Canis lupus familiaris: one gene and its partners. The protein of the gene in region 2 binds, or shares a complex with, the protein of the main gene of each other region. Links are inferred from orthologs where the notes say so. Each region holds a gene or a part of one and is shown on either strand. Other genes may lie near its edges.

Evidence for each region.
Region 1: RBM15B (region 2) and CBLL1 share a complex: the UniProt entries of both Homo sapiens proteins name them as parts of the WMM complex. The link is inferred for Canis lupus familiaris from reciprocal best matches to the Homo sapiens genes RBM15B and CBLL1.
Region 3: RBM15B (region 2) and WTAP share a complex: the UniProt entries of both Homo sapiens proteins name them as parts of the WMM complex. The link is inferred for Canis lupus familiaris from reciprocal best matches to the Homo sapiens genes RBM15B and WTAP.

Annotation. Positions count from the first base shown.
Region 1 is NC_049239.1:13,103,091-13,107,504, forward strand, and holds the start of CBLL1 (E3 ubiquitin-protein ligase Hakai), read right to left. Parts: upstream 2,925-4,414; 5' UTR 2,551-2,924; coding exon 2,538-2,550; intron 2,411-2,537; exon of another isoform or gene 2,283-2,410; intron 2,093-2,282; exon of another isoform or gene 1,929-2,092; intron 1,902-1,928; exon of another isoform or gene 1,770-1,901; intron 1-1,769. UniProt on the Homo sapiens protein: E3 ubiquitin-protein ligase that mediates ubiquitination of several tyrosine-phosphorylated Src substrates, including CDH1, CTTN and DOK1. Targets CDH1 for endocytosis and degradation.
Region 2 is NC_049241.1:38,597,445-38,601,603, forward strand, and holds the start of RBM15B (putative RNA-binding protein 15B), read right to left. Parts: upstream 2,874-4,159; coding exon 171-2,873; 3' UTR 1-170. UniProt on the Homo sapiens protein: RNA-binding protein that acts as a key regulator of N6-methyladenosine (m6A) methylation of RNAs, thereby regulating different processes, such as alternative splicing of mRNAs and X chromosome inactivation mediated by Xist RNA.
Region 3 is NC_049222.1:49,506,579-49,509,069, reverse strand, and holds the end of WTAP (pre-mRNA-splicing regulator WTAP), read right to left. Parts: intron 1,794-2,491; coding exon 1,210-1,793; 3' UTR 538-1,209; downstream 1-537. UniProt on the Homo sapiens protein: Associated component of the WMM complex, a complex that mediates N6-methyladenosine (m6A) methylation of RNAs, a modification that plays a role in the efficiency of mRNA splicing and RNA processing.

The DNA of each region.
Region 1 (4,414 bases), on a different chromosome or scaffold from region 2:
CGGATAGAAAGCAAGGACAATGGCTTACAACAAAATTAAAAGAATTGAAAAAGGAACGCCTGGCTGGCTCAGTCAATAGACCATGTGACTCTTGATCTAGGGGTTGTAAGTTCCAGCTCCAGGTTGGGTGCAGAGCTTACTTTAAAAATAAAATCTTTTAAAAACAGAAAAGGAGCAGCAGGGATATCTGAGTAGGAACTAATTTTTTAAGTGGTCAGATCATTTGTGAATATTTTCATGCCAGGATGACTCTTACTTTCTGGTCAACATTTTAACTTGGAGAACTAGGATAATACTCAGAGACACACCCAGCCACACTACAACTTCCTAACATACTATCCTCTAAACTGTGGAAGGCGCTTCACTCTCAATTCTAGTAAGGGGCTGTAATGAGAAGTGTTTTGCTGAAGTTGCATGTTTACTACTCTAACACCAAGGTCCCAGATCTCAATTCTACAAAATTTCCAAAACCAGAGTTCCTTACAGCCCGGTTCTTGGCCCTCTTCTTCTCTGTATTCTTGTTCTTTGAGTGATCTCATCCATCCCCATTCCTTAAAACAACAGCTACCTGCTCATAAGTCTCAAATACATATTTTTCAACCCAGATCTTTCCTCTGATCTCCACTTGACATCTCCCCTTATATATCCTCGTACACAGCTCATCCTTTGCAGCCAAAAATCTCATTCTCAAGTTCCCAAGTCTCCCTTTACCACTTAAAAAAAAGACGTCTGTTTTCCTCCCAAGTTTTCCCCAACTTAGTAACGGGCACTGCCTAGCTGCTCAAACCAGAAAGGTAGTCATCTCTCCTTTCTCTCACAAAGCTCCTATTTGAATTCCACCACAACATTCGATATGCCCACTCCCCTTTTCTTTAAACCGAACCAACTTCATTACCGAGCCTCTCTTAGTGTTCTACTGCAATCACCATCTAAACTATTTTCTATCAGTCTTGTCTCTCACACCATTCTCCACAAACAAGTTACTGTGTTTTTAAAAGAAATTATGTTCCTCCTGTACTCCTGCTCAATGGCTTCAGGGATCCCCAGGTGGCTCAGCAGTTTGGCACCTGCCTTCAGCCCAGGGCGTGATCCTGGAGTCCCAGGATTGAGTCTCACATCGGGCTCCCTGCATGGAGCCTGCTTCTCCCTCAGCCTGTGCCTCTGCCTCTCTGTCTCTCATGAATAAATAAATAAAATCTTTAAAAAATAAAATAAAATCTTTACCACGGCCTTCAAAGTCCTGTACCATCTGACTCCCACCGTCCCTTCCAATCTCTTAGGGCTCATTGCTTCTTGCTAAGCTGTAGCTGACTGACCTCTACGTTTTCCTTCCTCAGAGTCTTCATATTTGCTAGACACGCTTTACTCCTGATTAATTCCATGCAGGGATTCTTCTCATCTATCATATCTCAGCTTAGAAATCCAGAAAGACCCTCCCTGACCACTCTCTCTGAAGCCTCCTCCTTTAGTCTTTACCACAGACGCTGTTAATTTTTTTTCCAAGCGCTCATCATGATCTGTAATGCTTAGGTTAAAAAACAACAACAACAACAAAAACTTCTCTATCGTGTCTTTCCCAACAGAATGTAATCTCCATGAGGCCAGGAACGCAGTTGGCCTGGTTTCCAAGTCCATCATTCCCTCTCTAGGCATACTGGGGTCTGGCATAGGTTTTGCTGACTAGCACTCACTAAATTTTATAGACAGAAATAATTTTACGCCTATATGTACAAAATTAAGTAGGCATTTGATGACTGAGAACACCTTACCCAATACTTAATACAAGAAGTATCCTTTTATCCTACTTAGGATATGGCTGATGGAACCACACGGAACAGCAGCCCCAGGTTCACTCACTCACTATCCAAAAGCCACGATGAAAAAAAAAAAGCCAAACAACACACAACGAAGAGCGGAGTCCTTCTTACTTGGAGAAAGAGATGCGGGTATCTTGAATTTAAGCTCTCCTTTGTAAACGCCCCCGAAAGAGGAGTAAGGACCACAGCCGAAGCGCGGAGCAGGCTTTGGGCTCAGACAGAAAAGCCGGTCCGAGCAGGATTCCGAAAACTCTCACCTGGCTCCCCGCTCCGCCTCGGGTCCACGAAGGACCGGCAGCGCCCCCCGCAGCGCCCGCCCGCAGCCCCCTCCCGCGCCCCGACCCTGAGCCTGGAGTCTGCCCGCCGGCACCCGAAACGCAGAGCGGGGCACCACGGTTTAAAAAGAAAAAAAAAAAAAAAAAAGGAGGCAGCGCGCCCCGGTCCCCACGAGGCCGCGCCGCCCACCGTGCGGGCGGGGAGCTCCGCAGCACCAGAGCGGCGGCTGCTGCCGGCACCGAGGCTGTAGGTACCACACCGGAGGGTAGGCCGGGAAACGGCAGGCCCTTGCCGGGCACCGGGAGGGGTCTGTGGGATTTCTCTCTCACCGCCACCCCCCAGCGCTGCAGGGCGAGCGCATCCCCGCTCCGCCCGCCGGGCAGCCAGTCCCAGGCCGGCCGAGGGGGCATGGACCCGGGACCCCCGCTGCCTCCGCCTCCTTACCAGTGTGATCCATGATTCGGCTCGCGGGGCACAGTGGGAGCGGAAGTCAACCGCGCCGGAGTCGCAGGGCGCGCGTGCGCGCTCCCTTCCGGAGCCCGCGAGGCGGAAGTGCGACCGAGCTGCCTCGGCTTGGGCCTCCTCAGGTTCCCCTCTGTCGGGTGGGTGCACTACCCAACTCCGGTGAGGGCGTCTGGCATAGTTCGAGGGAGACAAAGGGGGGTACGCCAAGAGCTTCCAGGTCGAAGGTGCTAAGCCTTGACTACAGAAATGAGACCCGAGGGCACGGGGGAACGGGGAGAGCACCAGCAGCCGGTGGAACGAACTCGCGGCAGGTAAGGCGGCTGCTCGCCCCCGCGGAGCGTTGCCTTCTGGGACTTGTAGTGCGCGGCGGCCTCGGAGCCGGCCGGGCGCAACTGCGCAGACTCGGCCGTTGGGCTTGGCCCCACCCCGGCGGGCGGAGTAACGGTTTGGAATGGCCCGCAGTGCGCGCGCGCCGGCGTCCTCCGCGCGGGGCGGGGGGGGGGGGCGTGCGGGGAGCGGGGGGGGTGCGTAGCCGCGCGCGCTCCGGAAGGCGTCCTCGGCGGGAGGTTGCCCGGGGGACGGCCGCGCCGTGGGAGCGGGGAGGGCTCTCGGCGTGCGGTCTCCATCCCGCCCCGTCCTGGCGGGCCCCGCGGAGCGCACGTGGTACCGGCCCGTGCTCCCACCGAGGAGGTGTGGTAGCGGCGGAGACGCAGCAAGGCGCCCCGCGCGCCCCTCCGCGGGGTGGGGGTGGGGGCGGGGCGGGGCCGCCCGGCGGGGGAGCGGGGGAGCGCGGGGAGCGCGGGGCCCGGGGGGAGGGGCAGCGGGGCGGTACCTAGCTCCAGCTCCTGGTCGCCGGGGGTCGCGGCCGCGGCTGCCTTCATCGTCCCCGGCCAGCGCCGCGGAGTGGGTCCGGGGGCCCCTGAGCGAGGCGGCGGCGGCCTCGCCGACCGGGCTCCGGGTGTGCGCTCCCTTCTCCGACCCTTCGCACCTGGTGCTCTCGGAGGAGTGGGAAGGAGCGCACGATTAAGGAGAAAACACGAGCCTGGGAGCCCAGGGATTTGGGTTCTATTCCTGTCGTCCCTTGGTGACGACATCGTTACCTTGGGTGGTTCACGCTTTCCGTGCCAGAGTTCCTGGATCGATAGAAGAAGATGATGATGATGATTCTCCTGCCCTCCTCCCAGGAGCGTTCTCCGGCCCCGAATCCTGGAGGGAGCGCGTGCGGCGGTGCGCTGGGCCGGTAGTGCTGCAGCGACATCGGCGTGGAGTCCTCGGGAGCGGAACCTTGAGTGCTCCGCGCTCGCCGGTGGATGGAGGTTCTCCTGGGGCCTTTAAAGATTGTACTTGTTCATGAGACACAGAGAGAGAGACCTAGGCAGAGGGAGAAGCAGGCTCCCTGCAGGGGACCCCCCCACACACCCTAAGATCACGACCTGAGCCAAAGCAAAGGCAGATGCTCAACCACCCGAACCAGCCAGGTGCCCCTTCCTGGGGTCTTGAAATACACTTCCCCGCGGCATCTGAAGCTTCCTAAACAAGTTTTTCGGTACAGTTACAGCCAAGGGGAATTGTGAATCAGACTTAACCCTTGCTTTTGTTGAAAGGTAAATTTCTGTATCACTAAGTGGTTTCCAAGACGCTTTCAATTGCTGAGCTTGTTTTTTTGTTTGGGAGGTTGGAGGAGGCTTAACCGTACCTTTGCCCTTTCTCTAAATATGGTGCTAGATATGGTCGTGCATTTTTCACCCATTTGAGGTACAGAAGAAGGTAGTTTTCAGCTAGGAAGTCCTCTTTGTATTTTTTTTCTTTCTTTCTTTCTTTCTTTCTTTCTTTCTTTCTTTCTTTCTTTCTTTCTT
Region 2 (4,159 bases):
TTTAAGAACTTAGTTTTGGTGGGGGTCAGGACTCTGGTTCCCCCATCAAATGAACCAAAATAACCCAGCAGAGAATTCAAACCAAGGGGTAGGATGTGGGGAAGGGTGGTGGTCGGATTTTAAAAGAACTGCTTTTGTGACACAAACGCGGAGCTGGAGCCAGGTCTGGGCTAGGCAGTGTCTCTTACTATAACTATCACCATGTGTTCCTCCTCTAGCTTGCCCAATGTCCTCAGTGCTGACTGGAGGTACTGCTGTGAAAAGTCGCAGGGCGGGAAGGCGTAGAGCATGCCTGTGCTGTCTCTGCCCTTGGACCCACCCACCGGCAGGCTGATCACCCCTGCGGCCTGCTTCTGTTTCAAGTAGGAGACCAGGTTCCTGAGAAGCCGCCTCTGTAGGCCTGGCTCCACCGTGGGCATCCCCTCAGTGCCAGGCCCGCTGGGGGTCGCCTGGGTGGCTAGGAGCACCGCATAGCCATTGGGGCTCCCCTGCTTGATGCGCCGCGTGACCTCATCGAGCTTGGGCTGGTCCAGCCGCAGACGCTGGGCAATCTTCAGCTGGGTCAGCTTGCTCCCGGAAGTGTGGTCTTTGAGGAGGCCCGTGATAACCCCTTGGTCCCCCTCTAGGATGTGCATAGATGTTGGGAAGCAGCTGTTTTTCAACACTAGGAGCCCATTCCAACCCAGCTGCAGTGTCTGGGCATACTCGGAAAGATTCTTGAGCTTTTTGGTCTCGTGTTTTGGCTCTTCCAGAGGCTTGGGTTCAGCCTCAGCGGTCCGATGATTGCGCTCGCTCTCTCGGGTCTTCTTCCCATGGGAAGAGTCTGGAGCCTCGTGGTGGTGGTGGTGGCTCCGCTCCTCAGCCCCGTGTCTGCTGTTGCTGAGGGAGTTGCTGCTCGACTCCTTGGTCCCATCACTGGAGTGATTCTCCTTACGGCTGCGCTCAGGAGTGCGGTCAGAGCCCCGGTCCACCTGTGGCCCACCACCCTTGGTCCTGCTCCTCTCCTCGTAAGGGGAGTGGGTTGTCCTCCCGCGGTCACTGGAGAGGCTCCTCCGCTTCCGCCTCTCCTCCCAGGGCTTGGGCAGGCCCCGGTCCCCATCTCCCCAGCGCTCCCCACTCCGGCTGCGCACTGAGCGGCTGTAGCCCTCCAGGCTGTTTCGGCGGTCAGAGCTTTTACTAGGGCTGGTCCAGTCCCCTTCCAAAAAGGTCCGGTCCCGGTCTGAGTACAGGAGGTGTGGGGGGGTCCTATCCCGCACCCGGAGGTCTGCATCCAGGCTTCGATGCCGGGTATATCCATCTGGGAGCAGCTCATAATGCACAGGGAGGGGTGAGGGCTGGTACTGCTGGGGATACCGGGTCTCCTCTGCTTTGGCAAAATCCACACGCAGCCTTCGGTCTGGACCACCCAAGGGAAAGCCCCTCATTTTTGCGCAGGCGGCCTGAGCTGCATCCAAGCTCTCATACTGGATGTAAGCAAAACTATCTCCCTTGACGTGATCAATGGTCCGAATGCTCCCGAAGCGGTCAAACTCCCGGGCCAGAGCGGCCAGTGAGGTGTTAGGTCCCAGGCCGCCCACCCAGAGGCGAGTGGTGGGGTTGGCCTTGCCATAGCCTATCTTAATGGGGTTTCGGCCAATCACCCGGCCCGACATGGCCACCTTGGCCCTGTGGGCCATGTCTAGATTCTGGAACTTGAGGAAGGCATACGCACCACCCTGGCCACGGGCAGGTCTCTTGATGACCACCTCCTCAATGATGCCGTACTTCTCAAAGGCCCGCCGCAACTCCACCTCGGACACGCTGTGGTCCAGGTTCCCGATGAAGAGGTTGCGCGTGGCCCGCTGGTCGTCCTCAGGCATCAGGTCCTCCTCGCACACGGCGGGGTAGCCGTATGGGCGCCCGCGGTCGTCGTACAGACCGTAGTAGTCCAGGGCCCGCTCCCGGGACAGTCCTACTGCGGCGGCGGCGGCAGCATCCAGGGCAAAGGCCGCCGCGGCGTGGCGGGCGCGGGGCTCCCGTAGCGGAGGGGCGGCCACTGGGGACAGAGAGCGCTGCTTGTACTGGTAGCCGCCGTGCAGCGGCAGGTAACCGAGCGGGTCGGCGGGCGCGGGCGGCCCTGGGGGCGGCGTGGAGGCGGCAGCACTGCTGCTGCTGCTTCGCCGGCTGCTCCCGCCGCCGCCGCCGCCGCCGCCGCCGCCGCCGCCGCCGCCGCCACGCAGGTACACCGGCTCCACCTTGAGCGGCCGGTCGTAGAGCAGCAGCTGGCGGGCCAGGGCGTGCTGGCGGGCCTCGCGTGCGTCCTGCGGGTGCCGGAAGTTCACGTAGGCCACGCGGCCCAGCTCTGGCGTGTGCGACAGGCGCAGGCTGATCTCGCCAAAGCGCTTGAACTGGTGGAAGAGTCGGTCCTCGAGGTGCTCGGCGGGCAGCGCGGGGCTCAGGCTGCTGATGAGCAGCGTCTTGTACTCGGGTGCGGCCGCCGATGAGCCGGGCCCCGCGGGCTCGGCCCCGGGCGGTGGCGGAGGTGGCGGCAGCGGAGACGCGCGAGGTGATGCACCTGAAGCGCCTGGGTCCCCGGAGGCCTTGCCACCGCGTCCCCCGCCGCCAGCGCCCGAGCCCGAGGAGCGGCCGCTGCTCGCACGGTGATTCGCGTCCCCGGCGCCGCGGCCGTCGCGATGCCCACCCCCGCCGCCCCCGCTACCGCGGGGTTTGTCGCGGGCCCGCGTTGGAACGGGATGCTTGGCGCCGCCCGAGGCCTTGTGCGCCGCCCGCCGCCCGCCCGCCTCCGCCTCCCGTTCGCGCTCCCGCGGCCGCTTGGCCGACGATGACGAGCCGCGCCCGCTCGGGCTCGAGTCTCGCTCGCTCTGCCTCTTCATGGCGCCGGCGCGGCGGGCGGGCGGGCGGCCCGCAGGCCCCTCACAGCGGCGGCGGCGGCGGCCGAGGAGGCAGCGCCCCCGGCGCCGCCATCTTGGACAAAAGGACTCGGCGCGGCGGTGGCGGCGGGGCGGGGCGGGAGCGGCGCCCAGGGGCTGGGCGTCGCGTTATCAGGCAGCGCCGGACTGTCACGTGACCCCGCGGCGGGCGGGGCGAGAGCTACGCCGGGTGTGCGTCATCGGACTGCGCCGCCCCCATCACGTGACCCCCGGGGGCGGGGCAGGGGCCGGGAGGCCGGCGGGCGATCGCGGCCCGGCATTGAGCTCTGGCGCCACCGCGCGGCCTTGGGGCCGGGCTGCGCGGAGATGGGGGCCATCGCGAGAGCGGGCCTGGTTCGCTCCTGCCGGCCCTAGGCTTCCCGCTTCCGGCGCGGGGGCCCGCGCTGCGTGGAACAGGAGTGGCAGTGCCTGTGGGCGCCGGGCTCCCGACTCTTGACCAGCGGCCTCTTTACGTAGCATCCCCCGACTGGTCCGGGGTCGACGGTGAAGAGGATCTAAGCACGCCGCTCCCTCAGCCCTGTCCAGCGCCCACGCCCCACAAAGCAGGGATCCTCCGCATTCAGGTATCACCTGCTGCGGTCCCTGGAAAGGCCGCGATGACCAAGGGCTGTCCATGCAAAAGGCGAGGCTCAGCAGGGTTGAGGCGGAGAAACCCGCGCCAGCAAACCCGCCGTTTACCGAGTGCGAATTGGCGCCACTAGGCTGCGGCCCTCCGAGCAGTGGGCTGAGGGCAGGGCCACGGAGCCAAGGGCGAAGAGAAGGCCAAACCCAGTCGTTAGCACAGCTTGCTACGCTTACCTCTTGAGGCTGACCAGTGCCCTTCTATCCACTTCGAGGGCCAGGACCTCTTCTCCAGAGGTGAGGTGCGGGGGAGGCGGAAAGAATCCTGCCTGGGTGCCCAAGCGGCCTTGGGATGGTTTTATTCCCGAGAGCTGCTGGAAGCATCGCAGAACCTGACCCTTCTGCACGGAAACCGTGGGGGCGGGGAAGAGGCTGCCAGTTCCTCCTCCTCCTCCTCCCATGACCATACATAAAGCAGCTCCTGGAGCAGCTGAGGCAAGTGCAAGGGGAAAGCTCTTAAAAGAAACATCTGTAACATTGTCTGATCTTAACTCCCCTTCCAGCAGGAATGAGTTAACCCTTTGTAGATAACCGTGGGGGTCAGCCCTAGAGTGGGAGTGGTTGGGTTGTTTTTCTGTTCCTGTGTTCAGTGTGGCCTGTAGGCCATG
Region 3 (2,491 bases), on a different chromosome or scaffold from region 2:
AGCACGGAACCCGACGTAGGGCTTGATCTCACCCACCCTGAGATTGTGACCTGAATGTAGCCGATGTTTTAAAATGAACATCACTGACTATACAGATATCCCTATTACGTGAAATCATTTCACAAAAACAAACTGTACTTTTCAACTAAAACCTGACAAATACTTACATATTTTCTTCTTTTCTGAATATTTGAATATTTTATGATTTTTTACAAATCAGAAAAAAAAATTTATAGTCCTAAATTCCATGTTGATCTTGCAAAACAGTTTTTAGAGATTTTTTTAATCTCTACATCCAGTGTGGGGCTGTAACACACAACTCTGTGATCAACAGTTGCACGCTCCACCAACCGAGCTGACCTGACACCCCAAAGCATACATTTCTAAAAAACTAAGTGCACAATCAAGATTGATGCATGAACTTAAGCTTCACCACTGTGGTATGCTGAAGGATGATGAGTAAAAATTCATCAATTCAATAAAAATAAATGACATGCTAAACACAGAGATACAAATAAAAAAAACTAATGCAAGCGGTTACAATAAAAATCTTTATTTAGGTTTGGTCAGTACAGGTAAGATATACTGGAGTCACAGAGCAATATGCATTAACAGGATACAACAGTTCATAAAAACTGAGTAACTATGCACACAAATTTCTTAAACATTCAGTCACCTAAAGAGAAAATGCACGGATGTATGGTGGAAAAAACTGTATCTAACACTGAAACTACTATAGGACTCCATCAGCAAGTCCAACTTTTAGTGATAAAACTACTGTACTGGGCAAACTTGGCAGTCATAAACCCACATCTACTCTAACAAGTCTGAATGGTGCATAAGTATAATAACAGCATGAGTAAGAATGCCCTTACACAGCACAGGTTCTAGGATAGACACAGATTTATACAGACATCATTGTGTTATACTTTAAGGAAAGATTTCCATTTACAACTTCACATTAACTCATATAAAAATAACTTGACCCTACACAAAATGTCCTGTTAGCAACATTCAAGGTAATTAACTGTTACAATTTCCAAAGTGGCAGAGGTATTGAAGCAAAGAAAGAGAGGGGGGAGAAAAAGGGAAAGAAAAAAACCACACCCACAAAAAAAGGCAAATTGTGACAAAAGTATGCGTTAATTTTCTGGACAGTATCCTCTCCCAAATTAAATGACACTGTATAAAAATTTGCTGGAAAAAATATTACAAAACTGAACCCTGTACATTTACATTTGAGTCCAAGCCATTCTGAACGTGGCGGGAACCCGCAGTTCGGTTACCTTTCCCACTCACTGTTTTCTCCTCTTGAGGGTCATGATTGGAGTCTGTGTCATTTGAGTGGTGTGTGAGAGAGTTTTCACTGCCCGTGGGAGAGTCTACACTTTCATACCCCGCACTGAGTTGATTTACGTAACTACTACCTCCTCTGCCAGTTCTCTCCTCTGAGCTGTTGGAGGCCTTATTACCATTCCCTGGAGAAGAAGGAAAGTCATCTTCGGCTGTGTCCCCCTCCCTGTGAAATCCAGACCCAGACGTCCTCTGCCGGGAGGAACTGCCATTACTTGGTCCGTTGGCCAGCCGACTGCAGTCTTTACCTGTGGCCTCCGCCTGTCCTACAGGCTCAGAAGATGTAGTCCTGCTGGTACTTGGGGCTGGAGCTTGAGACTGCTGCTGTTGGTACTGAGCCAACTGCTGGCGCGTCTCTTTCAGTTGTTGCTGAAGAACTAGAATGGTGCTCTGCATACCCTCTACTTCTTCGTCAAGTTGAATGATGAAGTCATTCAGTTCTGTGCAAAGGAGAGTCAAACCTACTTTAATATTCTTATAACATTTATTTTTAAAAGATTTATAACAGACTTTATTAATGCCTATCACAAAGTCAGATAGTCAATAAATGTTTACGTGAACACAATTCTAAAAAAATATATATATATCTTAAAATTTTCCTTCAAATTTAAAAATAGCCATTTAAGAATGAGTTTGGTTCTCTTTTTTTTTGGGGGGGGGGGGGAGACATGCTTAAAATAGTTTTATAAAGCAAACAAGTTAAAACTGATTCAAATCTAGCCATATTATACAACTGATTATATCCCAAATCCAACTCCACATCTGTTTACCTGTGGGCCCACATGGCCAGTCCCCTTCCTCCTTACCCCCCTAGCTACTGTCTATCTCAGCTCCACAGCAAGTTTAGCCCTAGGGAGCAGTGGGTCCTCTAATGCTCCGAAGAGGCCTATGCTAGAACAAAAGCAAAAATCAGAAAAAATAACTCTTGAAAATTGATAAAATTCACATATCCACTTACTCCTAAAAAAGCTTGGGAAAGGAAAGTCCTTCATTACTATACAAAAATCTCCTAGTCACTATGTTTACATATAGTAAGAGCTAACAACTATCACTTTGAAAAGGTACTTTAAAAGGTATTCTAACCGATCTTTACAATTGTCAAATATATTCATTTTCAATTTAATTTCCAGAGTTCAGG